5 linked regions of the Rattus norvegicus genome follow. The protein of the gene in region 1 interacts with the protein of each later gene in a pairwise test. Links are inferred from orthologs where the notes say so. Each region holds a gene or a part of one and is shown in the gene's direction. Other genes may lie near its edges.

Evidence for each region. The genes of interacting proteins can lie anywhere in the genome.
Region 2: the proteins of Pstpip1 (region 1) and Tulp3 interact in binary tests that used the Homo sapiens proteins (3 or more experiments, as listed by UniProt). The two-hybrid records come from large-scale screens. The link is inferred for Rattus norvegicus from reciprocal best matches to the Homo sapiens genes PSTPIP1 and TULP3.
Region 3: the proteins of Pstpip1 (region 1) and Pcdhb20 interact in binary tests that used the Homo sapiens proteins (3 or more experiments, as listed by UniProt). The two-hybrid records come from large-scale screens. The link is inferred for Rattus norvegicus from reciprocal best matches to the Homo sapiens genes PSTPIP1 and PCDHB14.
Region 4: the proteins of Pstpip1 (region 1) and Cd2 interact in a two-hybrid assay, tested with the Homo sapiens proteins (2 studies listed by BioGRID and IntAct). The link is inferred for Rattus norvegicus from reciprocal best matches to the Homo sapiens genes PSTPIP1 and CD2.
Region 5: the proteins of Pstpip1 (region 1) and Lsm4 interact in binary tests that used the Homo sapiens proteins (3 or more experiments, as listed by UniProt). The two-hybrid records come from large-scale screens. The link is inferred for Rattus norvegicus from reciprocal best matches to the Homo sapiens genes PSTPIP1 and LSM4.

The regions. Positions count from the first base shown.
Region 1 is NC_086026.1:65,394,348-65,398,427, forward strand, and holds the start of Pstpip1 (proline-serine-threonine phosphatase-interacting protein 1), read left to right. Parts: upstream 1-1,280; 5' UTR 1,281-1,422; coding exon 1,423-1,458; intron 1,459-3,386; exon of another isoform or gene 3,387-4,080. UniProt on the Homo sapiens protein: Involved in regulation of the actin cytoskeleton. May regulate WAS actin-bundling activity. Bridges the interaction between ABL1 and PTPN18 leading to ABL1 dephosphorylation.
Region 2 is NC_086022.1:163,315,455-163,319,692, reverse strand, and holds the start of Tulp3 (tubby-related protein 3), read left to right. Parts: upstream 1-1,438; 5' UTR 1,439-1,487; coding exon 1,488-1,528; intron 1,529-4,238. UniProt on the Homo sapiens protein: Negative regulator of the Shh signaling transduction pathway: recruited to primary cilia via association with the IFT complex A (IFT-A) and is required for recruitment of G protein-coupled receptor GPR161 to cilia, a promoter of PKA-dependent basal repression machinery in Shh signaling.
Region 3 is NC_086036.1:29,484,483-29,488,687, forward strand, and holds the start of Pcdhb20 (protocadherin beta-14 precursor), read left to right. Parts: upstream 1-1,405; 5' UTR 1,406-1,544; coding exon 1,545-3,944; 3' UTR 3,945-4,205. UniProt on the Homo sapiens protein: Potential calcium-dependent cell-adhesion protein. May be involved in the establishment and maintenance of specific neuronal connections in the brain.
Region 4 is NC_086020.1:191,409,860-191,414,060, reverse strand, and holds the start of Cd2 (T-cell surface antigen CD2 precursor), read left to right. Parts: upstream 1-1,401; 5' UTR 1,402-1,477; coding exon 1,478-1,532; intron 1,533-1,641; coding exon 1,642-1,947; intron 1,948-4,201. UniProt on the Homo sapiens protein: CD2 interacts with lymphocyte function-associated antigen CD58 (LFA-3) and CD48/BCM1 to mediate adhesion between T-cells and other cell types. CD2 is implicated in the triggering of T-cells, the cytoplasmic domain is implicated in the signaling function.
Region 5 is NC_086034.1:18,792,057-18,796,180, reverse strand, and holds the start of Lsm4 (U6 snRNA-associated Sm-like protein LSm4), read left to right. Parts: upstream 1-1,324; 5' UTR 1,325-1,399; coding exon of another isoform or gene 1,400-1,483; coding exon 1,484-1,486; intron 1,487-4,124. UniProt on the Homo sapiens protein: Plays a role in pre-mRNA splicing as component of the U4/U6-U5 tri-snRNP complex that is involved in spliceosome assembly, and as component of the precatalytic spliceosome (spliceosome B complex).

The DNA.
Region 1 (4,080 bases):
TAAAAATTAGAAATAAATCTCTTTTTAAAAGATGCTCATAGCCCTTTGAGCTCAAGCCCTGGGATTCTAGAGAGAAAGGCTTCCAGCACCAGGCCTGCTGTGTTTCTTCTTGGGGGTTGTTTAAGGAAGTCTGGGTGTGTCTCTCTTTCAGCCCTGGCACGTAACCCACACTTGGGAGCTCAGCTGTCTGATCAACCCAGTTGGTCCTAAGGTAAGCCTCGGCGAGGGTGGTGATTTGTGGACAATCCCTGACTCATTCTTTTCACCAGCCCACCCGGGGCTCAGGACTCCCAGAAGCCTCTGCTGAGTGGACAAATCCTGACTCTGGATAGTGTTCCCCAGACCTGCTTGCCCTACAAAGAGAAATTCCAGAAGCATTCTTGATATGAAAAACTTTCCCAAAGACCGTGGGCGGGGGTGGGGGTGGGGGGGAGGTGCACGACGGTGGGGAGGCTGAGGCTCTGAGTTAGGTCAATCAAGGTCCTTCCACTATTGAAGGGCGGAGTCCAAATTAAACAAAAGCTGAACGAGTCTCCAGACTCCTGTCTCCCTCCGTCTATCACTATCACAGTTGTGAACTGAAGAGGGATGGGTGAAGATTTGCACGGGGACCAGGACCCATGCCTCGTCAGGCTGAGGTCCTTAGCTGGTTACCTGCTCACCCCACCTTTCCGCTCTCATAGCCCCTGGACCAGGGCTGAGTCTGCCCCATGCTGTGAGCTACTTGAGGGTTGGGACCTAGTCTAGGGCATGAACTGCTAAGGTTGGAATGAATGGTGGATGTCTTTGACTCGGGTGAGACCCCAAAAACCTAACCTCTTGGGGCCTGTGAGGGTAACAGCCACGGGATTCCTAACTTGACAGTTCTAAAGCTAAACTGGGCCAGGATATGAGCAGGCAGCAGAGTGGCAGGTGGCAGGCAGGGCTGTGCAGAAGAAACGCAGCAGCTCAACTTCCTGTGGGTTAGAGTCCTGCGCCTGCCCTGGGGGGATGTTGCACAAATCTTCCTGTGCAGGCCTCAGGCTGCTTGCCTGCCTGGCCTGTGCACATCCTGCCTCTCTCCCAGCCTCTGCCCGCCACCTGGGCTGCCTGCCCTGGGCCTCAGCCTGCGTCCTCTTCCATCACGGGGCTGGCGAGAGCCAGGCTGGAAATCGTGGCCCACCCATCCATCACTGGGCAGGGCTCCTTCCTCATTTCGCTGCTGATTCTAGCCCCAAACAAAACAGGTTGAGCCTTTTTCCTCCCTCCGGCAGTTGCCTCTGACTTGTGGCTGCCTTCTGAGCGTTTCAGACGGCGCCGACTGGAAGTGGGAGGGAGAGCTTGGTCTAGCCGCGCTAGAACTGGGACTTGCTCCTGGCTCCTGGCCCGCATTCAGCCCTGTTTGAAGCAGGAGTGCTAGCATTTGACACAACAGACAAGACGATGACCGCCCAGCTGCAGTTCCGCGATGCCTTCTGGGTGAGTGGAATCGACTTGGGGCGGTGAGCTTGCGGAACAGGTCCAGCCAGGCGGGAATCACCTTGGAGACTGACATGGGGTACAGTTTTCCCATAAAAATTGTGCCTTGCCTTTGGTCCTAATTATCATGGAGGTGACCTGGGCCACAGTCTCTACTGACGGGAAAGGCAAAAGATGGGCCCTGAGATAATGAATTTCTCTCACAGGCATTACCCCCACTGACAACAGAGAGCCGACCCCTGTACTCACAGGCTGATTCTCCTCTGGGACAGCGGCAGAGCTCACCAGGACAGCCTAATGGAGGATTTGAGGAGGATACATAGGGAGGAATGTGACAAGGGAGAAGTCAGCAGCCATGGCACCAGGCCAGCTTTGGTTGGGTTTGGGTTTCAGCTTTGTAAGGGCTAGGTCGGTTGCTGTTTCTCTTTGGGCCTCAGTTTCTACATCTGTGTAATGGAGATAAGTTCAGATATTTGAACTGAAGGTGGTCGAATGCAGGAAAGTCCTGGTGTCTTACCAGTGTTAAGCCTCCTTCTCTGACCCAGCCTCTGATCTCTGCATGCCTCAGGCACTTGAAGGAGGGTGGGCTAGGTAGCTTCCTGCCTGACTTTTCCAATTCAGTGCAGGTGTAAATCAAATCTTTTTGCCCATGAAATATGGGAACCTGGTGGGCAAGAGCAGTGGAGACCACAAGGTTTGCCCAGGTTTCTTGTTTTCCACTTTGCCTCCAGCTTCCCCCTGACTCCTCCACTCCTGACTGTCCCTTGTGGCTCTTGGAGACAAGTTGAGACCTTTCGGTTAAAGCTGGAGATGTGTTTCTCCTGAAGATAATGCTTCCACACCACGGGGAACTCTTAGGACCTCTTACTCATGTGGTTCTGCCCCAGCCTCACCTGGGGCCAAAGCCGGGAGGATGAGGGTTAGTAAGCCACCCTCCCTTCCTTTGTGGCTAGCTCTGCTTGGGGTCCGTGCTAGAAGAGTATGTGATGGACTTCCTCCCTTGAAACTGATTTCACAGAGGACAGAGGGCCTTGCCTGGAGAGGGAGGGCATCTTGTGCCTGTCTGGGCCTCAGTTTCCCCATTTTTACAAAGAGTGTAGGACCAGTCCAGAGCTGCAGATGAAGGCAGTGTTGTTGGCCATCTCATTCACCATCTCACTCATTCTCATTGGTGATAGCCAGAATCCAACTGCCACTCTGATTTAGAGCCCTGCAACCCAGGAAGGCCAGACACCCTGACCCATTTTATCCCTAGTATTTCTATCCAAATCCCAACGTCTGGGTTCAACTTCCCCAGATCAAAGCCTAGAAAAGCAGCAGCCCAGTGGCAGAGGCCAGGCAGAAGGATGACATATAAGACATCAGGGTGTGGCAGCAGCAGCAGCAGCAGCAGCAGCAGCAGCAGCAGCAGCAGCAGCAGCAGCAGCAGGACCCAGCTCCCCGGGGGCTGCTTCCTGGGTAGTGTCACACCATGCCCTGTACTTGCTCTGCCTGTGAGCTGCCGCAGGTGTCCTGGCATCCTGGCACTGTCTCACCGCGCCTGGCTCCCTAGGCCTTGGCTAGGAGACACTTCCCAGGGAAGGCAGAGCAAGGGACAAGGAGGAAGTAGATAGTGGCAACCTTTCACACTGCCCTGGAATCCTGCAGCCTGGCACTATACTCTGTGAAAATAGTCTTAGGCCTAGAGTGGTGGCAAATGCCTGCAATCTCAGCCCAGGCAGAGAGAAGAGGGCCAGAGTAAGTTGACATAAAGTAAGTTTGTCTGCATGGTAAGAGGTTGTCTCAAATGACAGGGAGAGACCAAGGCAGTGGGCATAGTTAAGGAGAAAGAAAAGAAAAGGAAAAAGGATAGCCAGTCTCTCTCTCTCTCTCTCTCTCTCTCTCTCTCTCTCTCTCTCTCTTATTTATTTTTATTTTATGTGTTTGGGTATTTTGCCTGCCTGTATTGTCTGTGCACCATGTGCATGCAGTGCCTGTGGAGGCCAGAAGGGGGCGTCTTATCCTCTAAAACTGTAGGGTGACCCACCATTTTACCAAAGGAATTAAACCCAGCTAATGTTGTGAACTGTTAAACCTCTGAGCCGGGTGGACGTATGCAATCTCAGTACACACGGTTTATCTGGCAACTTTTGCCTTTCCTGAGCACAGGTAGGAACCAGCTGTATTTCTAACATCCATTCATAAGAAGGAGGGAAGTAAAGGGGTCCTGGGAATTAAAGAAACCGTTACTAGGAGCTATCTCCAGAGATCATGTACTTACAGGAGATACCCTAAAGCCATGTGGGGGTGAGGAGGCGGGGAGCGTGTGTAAGCATTTATGTGTGCCATGCTGTGTGTAGATCAGAGGGTGGCCCCTGGTGTTAGACTCCCTTTCGCCTGTTTCGAGACAGGGTCTCCTGTTTGCTGCTGTGAGCAGGTGGCCATCCGTCTGCTGCTTGAGCTTCCAAGAGTTCTCCTGCCTCTCACTCCAGTTTTGCTTTGGGTGCTCTGGGATCATAGACATGAGCTGCCCCTGATTTTATGTGGGTTCTTGGATTCAGACATGAGTCTACTCACGTGCAAAGTGCTTTACCTACTAGCTATCTCCCCAGCCCTACCCCAAGATTTCAACAGGCCCCACAA
Region 2 (4,238 bases), on another chromosome or scaffold:
TCTGTCTAGAGTGGAAGAAATCACAGATGCTGGAGAAATGAATTCCTATTAACTTATCCTATGTGTACATAAAGCAGAAGCTCATATTCTAGTGTGGTTAGTGTGGACGTCTCAGTGACCCTCTTATGCATTCAAATAGCATCTCTTTCAACCCTACTCATTAGCATCTAGGCCCTTCTAGGCCAAGCAGAGCTTATGCTGTGCCTTACATGAGTGAAGATTTGTAGCACAAAAAAGGAAGAGGAGGAGGAGGAGGAGGAGGAGGAGGAGGAGGAGGAGGAGGAGGAGGAGGAGGGGTTGGGGATTTAGCTCAGTGGTAGAGTGCTTGCCTAGGAAGAGCAAGGCCCTGGGTTCGGTCCCCAGCGGTCCCCAGCTCCGAAAAAAAGAACGAAAAAAAAAAAAAAAAAAAAAAAAGCAGCAGCAACAGCCACCCAGGGTCACATAGGGAGGGGGGCCAAGTTCAGTGTTCTGCTCTCCTAGCCTTTGTTTGCAGGTATGCTATTCCCTAGTTTTCAAAAATTAATTTCTGGGACTTGGAGAGGTGGCTCAGCAGTTATGAGCCTTGGATACCCAGAAGGCACAAGTTCTATTCCCAGCACCCACATAGTGACTCACAACCATCTATAACTCCAGTTCCGGGGTATCTGACAGCTTTGGGCACCAGGGATGCATATGATATGCAGACACTCACATAGGTGAAACATACGGCACATGCCTTTAATTCTAGCACTAGGGCGCAGAGGCAGTTGGATCTCAGAGTTCCAGACCAGCCTAGGACTGTGTACTGAGATCCTGTCTCAAAATAAATACATTATTTTTTAAGTGAATTTTTGGATTCAACATCAGTGTGCTTTTGGCCTTACTCATTAAGTCTATCTGTTGTAGTTCTGGTCATAAAGTCCTAGAGGGACCAGAGCCACAAAGGCACTGATGCCTGGAGGCATGATTCAATGCAGAGAGGACAGCTTAGTAGCTACCCTCACGAATAAGGACACTTGAAGAGGGTCCCCAGGTAGGGATCCCGCAGTCGGCCTGTGGGCAAGGGCTAACGGTTTGGAAGGCTGAATGAAGGCCTCAGGTATCCTGGAGCAGGTCAGACTGCGAAGCTTCGGGCGACAGAGGTTCGAAAACCCGGGACTACACCCTGGCGCACCACAGTGGAGTGCAGGGAATCACCCTGTCGTGGTCGGCCCTGGAGTGGAGCAGATGAAGACTACTCCGAGAACCAGCTCGGACCCAGCCCCGGGGCTGTTCCCCTCTCTAGCGCACGCGCCATTGCCTCCCGGTGCCTCCCGCCCCCTGGAAACCCTCCAGCATCGCGGCTAGCGTCATTTGCCAGTGAGACGGGAGCGGAGGGTACTGGACCAATGGGCGTCGGCGACAGTGCGGGGTGTGGTTGCCAGGGGCGGGGCCCGACCTCCTCCATCCTCTCCAGCCGGGCGGCGGCGTCTTGGGGTCTGGACGCTGATGCCACCGGTCGGGCGGGTATGGAGGCGGCGCGCTGCGCACCGGGATCCCGCGGGGACAGGTCAGGCGGCGGAGAGACGGGCAGGGGTCTCCAGGGGGGGCGGGCAAGAGCGGAGGCCAGGCTCTTGTACCCAGGCTGGGCAGGGGCTATGCACACCCTGTGTCTCCAGAGCTCTCTTGTCGCTCTCCTGGAGTTTACCCCGAACCAGCTCGCCCTTCACCCCTAGGGCCTCGGAATCTCTGACTTGCAGTGCGCTGTGCTTCCTGCGCCGCAAGCTCTCTCGAGCCGCTCCCCTGGAGTTTACCCCGGACGAGCTCTCCATGCTCCCCTAGGGTCTCGATTCCCTCACTTGCAATGCGTTCTCCCGTCTCTGTCTCTCTCGACTTGGATCAGAACTGAGCTGGAAGGAGGGCACTCCTGGGAGTCGAAGCGGAAGGTCGAGGGTGATGGTTAATTGGTTCCAAGGCCGTTGCTTTTGGCAGTCATTGCGGAATTCTGGAACGAGTCCGAGGACTGAAAATGCAAAACTGTTCTTTTCTTCTTTCTTTCTTCCCCTGAGTTCCAGGAGTTCTTTCAGTGAGGCCTGTCTTAGTTTAGACTGTTCCATACTCTCGTTAGTGCCCCCGATTTCTCTACCAAGACCCCTCTTTTTTCCTGGTTCACAGAGTGAGCTTGGGAAAGCAAACGGGCTGCAATCCCAGCCTCCTCATTTCTCGTCAGCTAGGCTAACGAAAAGTTAATGGGGGGCCCTGTGAAATCACTGTCTCAAAACTTCAGCATTGTGTGAGGATTGAAACCAAACACGCCAACTGCATTCTTCCTTTACCCTTCCGTTACCACAGCAGATAAAGACTTGGCGTAAGGATTTAGTCTGACGTTTAAACGAGTTTTTAACTGGCCCGAAACCATCTTTTAAGAAGTTACAATAGAGACCCGTGCTCTCCATCGGTGTCATACAAGACTAAGCTTCCCTCAAACTTGACAATAAGGCTGACTTTGAACATTTGTTTCCTACCTCTGCTTCCCAAGGCTGACCTATTTTCATCTTTCATCAAGTAAATTCTATAAACTTGATAGCTGCTCGCCGAAATTTGTTTTCAACTCCCCCTCCATTTTGGGAACAGAAAATACATTTGCAAGTATTAGGCCGGGTTAGCAAAGTTAGTATTCAGCATGTCCGGGTGAAATCAGATGATATCTCGTTCAGCTGAGGGATTTCATTTTTAACTAAACGATTTTAGAGAAGTCAATTCCATAGGAATGTAATTTTTATTTTGAGGTAGGTCTTATGTAGCAGGACTGAAACTCGATATTTAAACCAGGCCAGCTTCGAACTCACACAGATCCATCTGTCTCTGCCTTCCATGACTCACGATTTTAGGGAACAGGAACTTGACTTTGAGATTGGGACCAGCTGGCAGGTTTTGTTTTGTTTTGTTTTTTTTTATTTTATTTTATTTTTCATCTCCTGAACTTGAAGCTTAAAGGAATAATTTTAAGCACCTCCCCCATTCTTCCAAAGAAAAGAAACCGACTCTAATTTCTAGTTGATTGACACGTTAGGAGCCAGTGCGAGGCCCTAGTTTCTCCTGCCCTAGGTAGAGCATGAAGCTCTGTCACTGTTTAACTCGTTTGTTGCTAAAAGCCAGTGAATGTCTCCCTTTTTAGGCTGTCCTTAATAGTTTTTTGAGAGAGACTGAGACTGACTTGGTTGAATGTCAGTATAATCCGGTAATCCAGGCTAGCCTCAAACTCAAAATCCCCCCTGCCTGAGCCTCCCAAGTGTCTTATATAGGCATGCATCACCAAGCCTGGACGTACTTGTGTACTAGGTTCTCTCTCTCTCTCTCTCTCCCCCTCTGTCCCTCTCTCCCTCACTCCCTTCCCACCCCTCTCAGGTTTGAAATTTTCTTTACATCCTTACCAAAATTTCCCCTTCCCCCTCTCCTCCCAGTATCCTCCTCCCTTCCCACCCCCCCACCCCCCATCTACTCCTCTTCTCTTTCTCTTCAAGAAAGGGCAAGCCTACCCATAGATATCAGCCAGTCATGGCATATCAGGTTGCATTAAGACTAGGCACCTCCTCTTCTATTAAGGCTGGAGGAGGCCATCCAATAGGAGGAAAGAATCCCCAAATGAGGTAACAGAGTTAGAACCAGCCCCTGCTCCCACTTTAGGAGTCTTATAAGAAGACTATGCTACACAATTGTAACATATGTGCAGAGAGCCTAGGTCAGTCCCATGCATGCTCCCTGGTTGGCGGTTCAGTCTCTGTGAGCGCCTGTGAACCTCAGTTAGTTGATTCTGTAGGTTTTCTTGTGGTGTCTTTGACCCCTCTGGCTTCTTCAATCCTCCTTCTCTTCCACAGGATTCCCTAAGCTCCACCTAATGTTTAGCTGTGGGTCTCTGTATCTGTTTTCATCAGTTGCTAGGTGAAGCCTCTCTGATGATGGCTACATTAGGCTCCTGTCTGCAAGCATAGCAAACAGGATATCATTAACAGTGTCAGGGGTGATCTCTCTCTTACGGCATGGGTCTCAAGCTGGACCAGTCACCGCTTGCCCATTTCCTCTTCCTCTGCTCTGTCTTTACCCCTGTACATCCTACAGGCAGGACAGATTGTATGTAGGTTGAAGGGTTTGTGGCTGGGTTGCTGTCTCCATCCCTCCACTGGAAATCTTGTCTCGGTTTGGGCTCCACATCCCCATTGTTAGGAGTTTTAGCTAGGGTCACCCTCACAGATTCCTGGGAGTTTCCATTGCATGAGATT
Region 3 (4,205 bases), on another chromosome or scaffold:
AGAGTAGCACTTGTCCATGAACTATACCCGCCTACTCATATAATTTAAATTATTCCTGGATTGCTAATACCTAATACCTAGTAACAATGGAAAGTCGTACATATTCAATATAAATGAAATTTGGCGCCTATGTTTTGATTGTTTTATTTAATTTTATTTTGAAGCTAGAGACTGAACCAGGACTCACACCATTACTAAGGTACTGCCACATAGTTCAATTGTTTTCTCTTATCAGACATTTAGTTAATTTCCTTCTGGTTACTTTGCAAATGTCAACTCATTAGTTTCTACGACAAAAACCCTTGGAGACAAGACTATCAGCATTCTACTTATAGATAAGGAGACAAAGGTATCTAATTTGTCCAGGCCTATAGAGAGTGAGTGGCAGAACCACAATTCAGTGTTCCTAAACATTGTCCACCTCCTAGATCACAGTTACGTGTCTCTTCAAGACGTTTCTGTTACTCTTTACCTATGCACTGTTACATCTTTAATTACTAGCTAATGAATTCTTATTCCCTGAAAAGTTCTTAAAAGGATCATCTTACAGTGTCATATCTTCCAATATGCACATAAAGACATGTTTGTATGCATATGTGTATATGTCTTTTCAGACAGTGTCTCCCTACATAACTCTCACTAACATAGAGCTAACTGTGTAGACCATGCTTACCTTAAACTCTTACGGATCCCCCTACTTCTGCCTCTCAAGTGTTGGGATTGAAAGTGTGCACCACCAAACCTTACTGTGTTTTCAATGTAAAAGCAAGAATCTAATATTACCTTGTCATAAGTTCTCTATTAACAAAAAAGTAGTATGTTTTGTATTTTTCCTTATTCGTGTGTGTATGTGTGTGTAAGTGTAAAAAGTAGTGGAGTAATAATTAAATAATGAACTCCACCCCAACAAATATTTACCAGAGTTGATGAGGTAAATATTTGTAACTACTAAGTAATTGTCTTGAAATAAATATTTTTATTTATTTTGGAGCACTTTATTGTATCTTTTTTGAGTTGAACATTCAAAGCACTAATGATTTCATACAGAGAATGGACTGTGTTTGGATACTATTTCAAACAAACCAACAACACCAGACATTTTATAGAAAAGGAAGAAAGCTCAAACAGACTGAGTTATAAGCTATATCCAAGAAGTATTTCTACATGTGTATTGTGGTAATGATTTGCAGTTATATTTTAAAGGCGTTGCTAATTATAAATAACACCTGGATATTTAGAGATAAATATAAACTATGTGAAAATTGCTTTTGAAAATTCTAGATAGACATAAAATTTTAGGAGAAAAATATTAAATGACAAAATTCACAGAGACACATGGTGGCGCTGTAGGATAAGATCAAACAGTGCGTAGCCCGCCCTGTGGGTTCCACTATCCGAAGGACCAATTCAGTGAGAAGGGACGTATTACAGGAGCTTCACCGACGGAGCTGACAAGGGATTTTCAATAGAAATATCGGACCTTTGTCTCCCAAATTTGGGATTGAATTTAAATTTTGGAGTAGAAGAAGTCACCTGAAGGAACCATGGGAAACAGAAAGACTATCATCCTGCAGAAACGGCAAGTCTTGGTTTTCTTTGTTTTGCTGGGATTGTCTCGGGCGAGTGCTGAGTCTTTGCGCTATTCTGTAGCAGAGGAAACAGAAATTGGCTCTTTTGTGGCTAATCTGGCAAGGGATTTAGGGCTGGGGGTTGCGGAGCTGTCCTCCAGGGAGGCCAGGATAGTGTCAGACGATAATAAAAAGCATTTACTCCTTAATTTGCTGACCGGAGATGTGCTCCTGAGTGAGCGACTGGACCGTGAAGAGCTGTGTGGCTCCACCGAGCCCTGTGTGCTGCCCTTTCAGGTGGTACTGGAAGACCCTTTACAGTTCTATCGAGCTGAGCTGCATGTCAGAGACATAAATGATCACGCCCCTACATTCCTAGACAAGGAAATAACTATTAAAATACCAGAAAGCGCTGCTATCGGAGCCACATTTTTAATTGAGAATGCACAAGATCTGGACATAGGAAGCAACAGTCTCCAGGACTACAGCATTAGCCCCAGTTCTCATTTCTATGTTAAAATTCATGAGAGTGGTGATGGAAAGATATATCCAGAGCTGGTACTGGACAAAGCTTTAGATCATGAGGAAGAATCTGAGCTTAGATTGACACTTACAGCATTGGATGGCGGGTCTCCACCCAGGTCTGGGACAACATTAGTTCTCATAAAAGTCTTGGACATCAACGATAATGCTCCTGAGTTTGCTCAGAATTTCTATGAGGTGCAGGTCCCAGAGGACACACCCATTGGCTCCAGTATTATTACTATCTCTGCTAAAGATTTAGATATGGGAAATTATGGGAAAATATCATATTCATTTTTGCATGCAACAGAAGATGTTAGAAAAACCTTTGAAATCAACCCAACATCTGGGGAAGTCAATTTGAGATCACTGCTGGATTTTGAAGTAATACAGTCCTATTCTGTAACTATCCAAGCAACAGATGGTGGAGGTCTTTCAGCAAAATGCACTCTTTCAGTTAAAGTATTAGATATAAATGACAATGCACCAGAAGTGATCATATCATCGGTTACAAAGACAATTCCAGAGAATGCTTCAGAGACCCTGATCACTCTGTTCAGTGTCCGAGATCAAGACTCTGGAGACAATGGAAGGATCCTTTGCTCTATTCCGGATGACCTTCCATTTATTCTAAAGCCCACCTTCAAGAATTTTTTCACTCTACTTTCTGAAAAAGCACTGGACAGAGAAAGTAGAGCTGAGTACAACATCACCATCACTGTCTCAGATCTGGGCACACCCAGGCTCACAACCCAGCACACCATAACAGTGCAGGTGTCTGACATCAACGACAACGCCCCCGCCTTCACCCAAACCTCCTACACCATGTTTGTCCACGAGAACAACAGCCCCGCCCTGCACATAGGCACCATCAGTGCCACAGACTCAGACTCAGGCTCCAATGCCCACATCACCTACTCGCTGATGCCGCCTCGAGACCCACAGCTGGCCCTCGACTCCCTCATCTCCATCAATGCTGACAACGGGCAGCTGTTCGCACTCAGGGCGCTGGACTATGAGGTGCTGCAGGCCTTCGAGTTCCGCGTGGGTGCCACAGACAGAGGCTCACCCGCGCTCAGCAGCCAGGCTCTGGTGCGCGTGGTGGTGCTGGACGACAATGACAATGCGCCCTTCGTGCTCTACCCGCTGCAGAATGCCTCAGCGCCCTACACAGAGCTGCTGCCCAGGGCGGCAGAGCCTGGATACCTGGTTACCAAGGTGGTAGCTGTGGACCGCGACTCTGGCCAGAATGCCTGGCTGTCATTCCAGCTGCTCAAAGCCACGGAGCCGGGGCTGTTCAGCGTGTGGGCGCACAATGGCGAGGTACGCACCTCCAGGCTGCTGAGCGAGCGCGATGCACCCAAGCACAAACTGCTGCTGATGGTCAAGGACAATGGAGATCCTCCGCGCTCTGCCAGTGTTATGTTGCACGTGCTAGTGGTAGATGGCTTCTCTCAGCCCTACCTGCCTCTGCCAGAGGTGGCGCACAATCCTGCACACGACGAGGACACTCTAACACTGTACCTGGTCATAGCCTTGGCATCTGTGTCTTCTCTCTTCCTCTTGTCTGTGCTGCTGTTCGTGGGGGTGAGGCTGTGCAAGAAGGCCAGGGCAGCTTCTCTGGGTGGCTGCTCTGTGCCCGAGGGCCACTTTCCTGGCCACCTGGTGGACGTTACCGGCACTGGAACCCTGTCCCAGAACTACCAGTATGAGGTGTGTTTGACAGGAAGTACTGGGACAAACGAGTTCAAATTCCTGAAGCCAGTCATGCCCAGTCTTCAACTCCAGGACCCCGATTCTAATATGCTGGTAAAGGAGAACTTTCGGAATAGCCTGGGTTTTAATATTCAATAAAAATTTCCTTTAAACTTTTATTATTTTCTTTCTATTGACAAATTGCAAAGGCTTGTTTTTTTTTTTCTTAATCTGTATTGGATTTAAGGTCTTCCTGATGTTGCATTCATTTTCATATCACGTGTTTTTCTCAGAGTTACTTTGAAAATCTTTACTGGGATAAGAGTGATGCAAAGAAACACGTTTTGTTTTATTTTGTTGAAGTGTTGTGTTAACCGGTCTGCTGTTTCTTATATAAGACCCAGCAATGGAAATGCTGGT
Region 4 (4,201 bases), on another chromosome or scaffold:
AAGAGTAGAAATTCTTTTATGTTAAGTCTTATTACACTTGGGTCCCCCCCGCCCCCGGAATTAATGTTTTAACTCAACTGTAATGCATTGTTGTGGCTGTTGTAAGTACCTGAAATGGAAAAATCATGATTTTGAAGATCTTTTCCCAGTGAATTCTAAAGACTCAAAATACTGGATGTTCACTGTATCTCTTGCCCATGTGACTTCTCTGTTGTCTTTTTAGGGACACTAGTCCTTGCATCCTTGAACCTCTCCCAGATCACGAACCCTGTTCTTTTTTTTCTCTCTCCCAGTTATGATTGTCCTGGTCTCTCCGTCTCCATTGCCATCTACAGTCTTAATTATCCTGGATATTTTGGATTTGGTTGTTCACTACCATTTTATAGTCTTAGGACAAGAGAGATGGCTTGGTACTTAAGAGCACTGGCTGCTCTTCCAGAGGACCCAGGTTCCATTCCCAGCATCCATAAGGCAGCAGTTCACAATCATCTGTAACTCCGATTCCAGGAGATCCCATGGCCTCTGCTGGCCTCTTCAGGAACTGTGTGTGTCTCAGTTACTTTTCAATGGCTGTGACAAGTCATCGTGACCAAGGCAACTTACAGGAGAATTTATTGGAGTCTTAAAATTCCATGACCACCATGACAGGTAGTATGGCGGCATGCAAGCATAGTGCTGGGACAGTAGCTGGGAGCTTACATTCCTATCCACAGCAGGAGAGGGGGAGGGGGAAAGGGAGAGAGGGAGAGAGGCCAGGAGGGGGAGGGAGAGAGACAAGGAGGGGGAGGGAGAGAGGGAGGGAAAGAGAGGGATGGAGGGGGAGGGGGAGGGAGAGAGACCAGGAGGGGGAGGGAGAGAGACCAGGAAGGGGAGGGAGAGAGATCAGGAGGGGGAGGGGGAGAGGGAGGGAAAGAGAGGGATGGAGGGGGAGGAGGAGGGAGAGAGAGAGAGAGAGAGAGAGAGAGAGAGAGAGAGCGCTCATGAGCCAAGCTCTAACAGGACCGCAAGGGCTTTAAAGCCCTCTAAGCCCAGTGACACACCTCCAACAAGGCCACACCTCCTAATCCTTCCCAAACATACATTTCTGAATTCTATTCCCTTATGAACATTTGCCAGTGAGTCTACCTGATCCTGCTGAAGGCAGCACAGCTGAGTGGACAGCTGTTTAAGCCCTGGTTTACAAAAGGGTAGCTCTGGCAACTGCCCTCCCAGTTCCTCTTCTTCTGGTGAGGTGCTAAAACCCAACACCCTAAACTGTTTTGTAAAGATTAAAATGTGGCACAGGCTCCTGTTTCAGCTAAGGAGGGCAGCAAATGCACGGGTCTGCTAGGGGCTGTGGGTGTGTTTTCTTCCCTACTGTGAACGGCAAGCATGAGAGGCATGTGGTTCAGAGTGTTGGGTGTGGCTTCTGCCAGCCTCACCACAGCCCTGGCAGAAAGAAGAACTCAGAGCCACCACTGGGAAAAGAATTGTAAAGATGAGATGTAAATTCCTAGGGAGTTTCTTTCTGCTCTTCAGCCTGTCCAGCAAAGGTAAGCATGGGTGTGGAGCTCCTCTGGAGACCTCAGAGTGGACCTGAGAGGCAAAGAGGGAGATTCTCGGTAGTCCCAAGACCTCAGAAACCATCTTACTTTTTGACAGGAGCAGACTGCAGAGACAGTGGGACCGTCTGGGGTGCCCTGGGTCATGGCATCAACCTGAACATCCCTAACTTTCAAATGACTGATGATATTGATGAGGTGCGATGGGAGAGGGGGAGCACCCTGGTTGCCGAGTTTAAAAGGAAGATGAAGCCTTTTTTGAAATCGGGAGCATTTGAGATCTTAGCAAATGGAGACTTGAAGATAAAGAATCTGACAAGAGATGACAGTGGCACCTATAATGTAACGGTATACAGCACAAATGGGACACGTATCCTGAACAAGGCACTGGACTTGAGGATTCTAGGTAAGTCTTCATTCCTTAAAGTTTTTCATTTTAGGACGGGTGCTATGTAGCAAGTTGGGGAGTAGCGTTTCTGTAACATCCCTGTCTGTCGTTTCTTGTTGGCTCACAATGAAGACTCCAGTGGGTGAGGGTGGTCCTCAAGTCTGTCTGCCTTTCCTTCTCTCTTTGGCATGGCTGTGGGGGCTGTGTAAAGACTCCCAGGTTAAAGACAGGCATTAATAAGATAGAAAACAGGTCGGCAGAGATAAAGGTGGACATCCTTGGTGGCTGATGAAGTTGTAGACAGGGCATCAGAGGGTCTCCAGGGAGCAGTGAGTCTCTTGTCTGGAGAGCTAAGTTCAAGCCAGGGTGCTCTGAAGGAGTTAGAGGGCAAGATAGGGCTAGCTACAGATGCTGACCCAAAGGAAGACTAGAGATGCTGAGCTGAAGAAGGCTGGAGATGCTGAGGCAAAGGACCAACAGCTTCTCTGTTTAGTCTTCTCAACATCAAGGAAGGTGGACGGTAATTTTGCTGGTCCCTGAACTAAACACACAAGGTGCGACTTTGTCTTTGTGTACACAGAGAGGGCAGGATACTGAAGAGGAATATGAGAAGACTAGCCAGGAAGCCTCTACTGTAATCCAAGTGAGGCCAAGCCGGTGGCCTTAATCTTGGTAGCACACAAGAACCAGCAAGAGAGCTGTAAGAAGTGACTAATGACCAGACTCCCGGCATGGTGTCTGTGCAGCAGTGAGTGGGAGCTTCTAGTGAGTAGTTGTCATTGATAGGCATTGGCCTGGAGTAGAGGGTCCCTGAGAGGTAAGGAGGGACGCAAGCATGCCGGGTGTGGGTGTGAGAAATGAAGGAAGCTTGGGTGGGTGAGAAAGAGGAGAACGAAGCATGGAATGCCACAGGCGGCAAAAGTCCAGGTACAAGTGGGCAGCTCGCACCAATGGGTGAGAGAGGAAAGCCTGCCCTTGGCTTTCAGAGAAAGCTGAGAATGCCTTGTCCAGTATAGATCAGCCATTCGGGGAGTACACAAATGTTCTGAGATTCACACAGGAAATGTCAGTAGAGAAAGGGCTCCCCTCATCCCATCTGAGGGTGTCCTTCCTGCTCTGTACTCAGCAACTGGGTCTAACACCAACCCCTCTCCAGGGCCCACTGTTAGCTCCTCTGTGTACAACCCCTTCCAGAACCTAATCCTGTAACTTTATCTAGAGGGAATATTCCAGAAACGGAATGGGAATGAGAACCACTGATCGTGGGCACCGGGAATGGCCGGTCATGACCACAGGCCATGCGGCTCTAGGGTCCTGTTGTGATATTGAGCTGTACTGAGCTCTGTATAGAAGCCCATACCTATGCTCTGACACTGTCACCTTCATTTTGGGGTGATAATGGCTACTGGGGAGAAGTCAGGAGCTTGTGGACCTAGTTTTCTTTAGCAATCCCAAGAACTTAAAATTACAAGCGTCTATCCATCTGTAACGAAATAGGCCTGATCAGAAGTGGCCACGTTCTCGATGTTTGACAGGAACAAGGCCAGAATTCCAGCCCAGAGCTTCCCTGGATGAGGACAGTGACATCCCCTCGCAAACAAGCTTATTGTTATGTAATTCATGTACCGCAGATTGCCCATTACCACACACAGTTCAACAGCTTTCTGTAGTCACAGAATTATGTGGTTATCACCATAGGCAGCATTCTCCTTACCCCTAAAAGGAAACCCATACTAAAATCAGTGGCTTCACTGTTACATGCAAATGGCAATGTCACACAGTATGATGACTCAACTTGAGGTCTTGTCACCATTATGTATGACTACATGACTACATATTACACAGCATTGGAAAATTGCCCTCTGTCCGAGAACCTGATTACCCAGTGTAGGTTATATATCACTTACTTAATGAGTTTAGGACTAGAAGTGTTTAGGATTTGGGACTTTTTGAAGATTTCGAAATATTTGCATATATGTATGCTATATCTTGGAGATGGGACCTAAATGTAAACACAACACTCATCCGTGCTTGTATATACCCCATACGCACTATTCAAGACAATTTAAAACAATGTTTTAAATAGTATTGTGTAGGAAACAAGGTCTCACAGCATGAGACTTTCCATGTGTGGTATTGAGTTGTGGCTTGATAGTTTGGAACCTTTCAGATTTATCCATTAGGATGCTCATGGGGCCTGTGATATCCAACGAGGGGTGTCGTGAGTTATGAGTGTGACACGCTCCTCGATGCTGGCTGACATTCAGGGTCC
Region 5 (4,124 bases), on another chromosome or scaffold:
GGGGCAGAGGAACCGTACAAGTGAGCTCATCACTGACATTCTGCACCAGGCCTTCCAGAAGCTTGGTAAAACAGCTGTCCTGCTCGGGACAGCTCAGGGCAGAGCTCCGATTCCATCGCCAGTAGCCAAAGGAAATAAAAATAAATAGAAGGGCAGGGGAGTTGGATCCATGGGTAAAAAAGGCTGACTGGTGAAAAGGCTAGACTGATTCCATGACAGACTTCAAACTGGCAGTTAAGGAGAGTAGGCCTAAATCAGTTTCCAAGAACTGGGCAATTCCAGGCAAGTCCAGGCCTCAGAAGCTGCCCTGCCACCTGGCCTGAGGCAAGGACAATGGCTGGGTCAACAGCAGTTTCCAGACTTCCTCAGCAGCAGTTTCCAGCCCTCCCCAGTAAGTTTCCAGCCCCCACACCCCAGTAATGGAATGTCTGTAGAGATGGACCCAACAGATTAACATAGAGGTCACCTACCCCAGAATTCCCTAATGTGCTTTAAATCAGACTTCCAAGTTCACTTGGGTGTCTATTCTGGTAATGGGAGACCACAGCATGCTGGACTTCTGCAGAATAAAACATTCATTGCCTTTACATACTATTTGAATCCACGGTATCATTCTTCGGTGGCGAATCATGGACCCTAACACTGGGCAAGCATGAGAACCTAACTTTGTATCTCAAGACGACAGATTAAAACACACCTGCAATCCCAGCACCAAGATCTCAGGAAGTTTGAGACCAGCCTGGTCAACACTGAGTGTTCCAGGCCGGTTAGGGCTGCACAGAGAAACCCTAACCTCTTCCCAAAATGATAACGATTAAAAAAAAACAAAAACAAAAACAAAAAAACAAGGTGCTGGCTTGGTAGCCTACAGCGGCCATGCCAGCACTGAAGAAGTTGCGTACCAGGCTATTGCGAGTTCATGATCAGCTTCAGCTGCCACAAGAACCCATCTCAAAACACGAAAATTCCAGCGATTTGTTTCCTGTCGCCGGGGAACGCTGGCCCTGACGTTCGCGTTCAAGGATTATATTTGGATTGATAAAGAGAAAGAGCTCCATAAGGGCGAGGACGGAAAGATAGGAGCGCGAAGAGGGTATGAAGCGGGTTTCCCCAGCCCAGCGCGATTCACATGCATTAGCCAGTTTCGCCCACAGTGTGGCGCCGAACCAGTCAGGAGTGCACATCTGCGCAGGCGCCATTTCCCAACATACACCATGAGTGGGCATGAAGAGCACCGCGGCCTTTTGCGTCACTCCGGTGTCACGCTTTACGGCCGCTCCTCAATCCCACGGTGGGAATACGACGCGATACGCCGCCGCGTTATGTAGGCACCGCCTTATCCCGTTCCGATTGGATCGGTCCATTTAGTCACTCGCTGATTGGTTATAGTTTCTGCCAGTCTTTTTCAGGCTGGAGCGCGCGGTAGACTGCCGGTGGGAGTGCGAGTGGCTGTGCAGCGGCGGAAGTTATCTCTGCAGGGAAGATGGTGAGGGCCGCGAGGCGGCGGGGCGCGCGCTCAGGGTCTTCGGGCTGCTGAGAGATGGGGAAACCTGAGGCCGGAGGTGACCAGTGTCTCTCTAGGGTCCCAGTCCGCCACCGTTGCGGATTTATCTCTTGAATGGACAAGGTTTTTTGCGGCCGGAAGGACTATGATCGCTTCCGGAGCTTGTCACCGTTTTTGATAGGATTGCTGCGTTTCCGGGAAGTGGGCGGACCTAAGGGCTCACGTGGGTTCCATTGCCCACTTGATGCTTATCAAGTGTCTGACCTCAGCTGCCTACGCCTTTGGCCGAAAGTCCAACCCAGATTGAGGGATGTTTCTCTCCCTTGGACACATAGCAGGTCCTGCTCGGGAGGAAGGAAATTTTTTCTCCTAGTTCAGGCTCAGGCCTTCCCAGTTGTGGGACCTGACATGATGGAATAGAGGAGGCCAGGTTTCCCTGCTGCTCTATCGAGGGGCGCGTTGGCCCAAGTTGGGAGAGCTGGACATGCCCATCTCAGTTCTTGATGGTAGAATATTTGGTTTTGTTTTTTGGTTAGGCTTTCTGATCTGAACTTAACGTAATCCAGGCTAGCCTCAAACTCATCCTCTTGCTTCAATCAGTGGAGTATGGAAAGGACACGTGTATACCTCCATGTTTGGGTTAGGACGGGAGGCAGATCTCATATAGCCCAGGCTGCTTTTGAACTTCCTTTGTAATCACGTATGACTGAACTCCTGATCCTGCCTTTACTCCAGAGCGACCCTGGGTTTTGTGGTGCAGGACCTCAGGGCCTAACACATGCTGTGTAAGCACTCCCCACTAGGTGTACCCTGAGCCCCTGAGACTCCTTCAGTCTATTCCCACCATAAAGCACCCGCCCAGCCTCTGAGCCTCCCTGAAGGGATGGCCAGGTGTGTCCAGGACTGGACACCCTCTCCACGCAGGTACGCACAGACACTCCCATATCTCTGCGGCCCAGCTGGTACAGGAGTGTCCCAGCCGAAAGTTTCTGAATTCGGAGCCCAAGGCTTGATCCTCCAGCCGTCTCATCTACACGCTGGATCCCAGAGAGGCTGGAGGGTGGCTGAGAAGGAATTTCCTTTCCTGAAACTGCTCCTCTGATGGGAGGTGCTGGGACTGGAGCCCAGAGCCAGTGGCCATAACACCTGCAGGTGCAGGTGCTCAGTGTAAAGCTGTATCTCCCCACTCAAAAGCCTGTGACTATCCCAGCTCCACCCTCCCTGTCCACCCTGGCCCGTTTCACTCTGAGCTTTTTTTCCTTCGTTTTGGGAGGCCTGCCCAGCTGGAGCACGGACTAATTACTTCTCTATGAACCCCATTCCTTCCATTCCTCTGTATCCCACTGCATGCGCAGATCTGGGGGTGGCGGCCTGTCCCTACACCACACTTACCTGTGGCTCTGGACAGGATGCACCTGTGCTGGGTATCTCCACCCTGCCTGTTCAGCAAGTGTTTACTGCCCCTCCCTGCTGCAGGAGAGCCCGCGCCCACACTGACCTTCTGTCTAGCCAGGGAGACTGGTGCTGATCACCCTGTAATTAGAGAGCGGCCCCTGCTGTGGTGGGTGGAAACAGGCTGGCAGCCCAGGGTGGCCATTAGGGGCCTAGTCACAGGAGGGGACATGCTCAGCAGGATTGGGCAAAGAAAGTCTGGGGAAGGGCACCCTGGGAGGTGGCTGGGGCCCGGGCAGGAGGGACAAAAGCTCAGTAGTAGGCTGGACCTTACCATGGCTGCCTCACAGCCAGACTAGCCTGTGCTGGCCATAACAGCTCCAGAAGAGCTGTGTATGTGCGCCTGTTCTTGTTTAGTGATGTTTGCCCCTGAGCCTTTGCTGTGCCTTGTCTTCAGGAGTTTGACTGTTCTATTTGTTCCTTTATTGAAACAGGGTCTCATGTAGCCCAGGCTGACCTCACATTGTAGCCAAGGATGACCATGGCTCCAACTCCCTGGAGCTTAGCCACAGGCTGCCAGACTGTGCCTCTTTTTCACTGTTTATTTGAGGGTCAGACTGGACACCATTGTCACTGATCACCAAGGCCACCCTCCCACCACCCATTTTCACAGAAGCCATCCTCTGCCTCCTACCCTTTCAGGAAGTCTCTGCAGGAAATGGGCTCCAGCCTCACTTCCTGCCACTGAACCCCCACCCCCACCCCTAGCTCTTCTCAGGAAGGGCCCTGTGCTGCAGGCTCCCCCAGCCCTCTCGTGACCCAGAGTCACCAGGCTGGGCACGATGGCCCCGAGGATCTGAGTCCTTGATGTTTGTTTCTTCTGTTTTAAATGATTTATTTTTATTTCATGTGCATTGGTGTTTTGCCTGCGTGCATGTCTCTGTGAGTGTGTTGGTTCCCCTGGAACTGGAGTTATAGGCATTTGTGAGCTACCATGTGGGTGCTGGGAATTGAACCCAGGTCATCCAGAAGAGCAGCTGTGCTCTCAACCACTGAGCCCTGTCTCCAGCCCCTTGTGATATTGTTGTTGTTGTTGTTTGTTTGTTTGTTTTGCTGTGTGACCCAGTTACCCTGGAACTTAGATCCTCCTGCCTCTGCCCCTCAGTGCAAAAATTAAGTGCCTGGCTGTATTTTGATTTTTGGGTGAATTTTGGAGACATGTCTAATG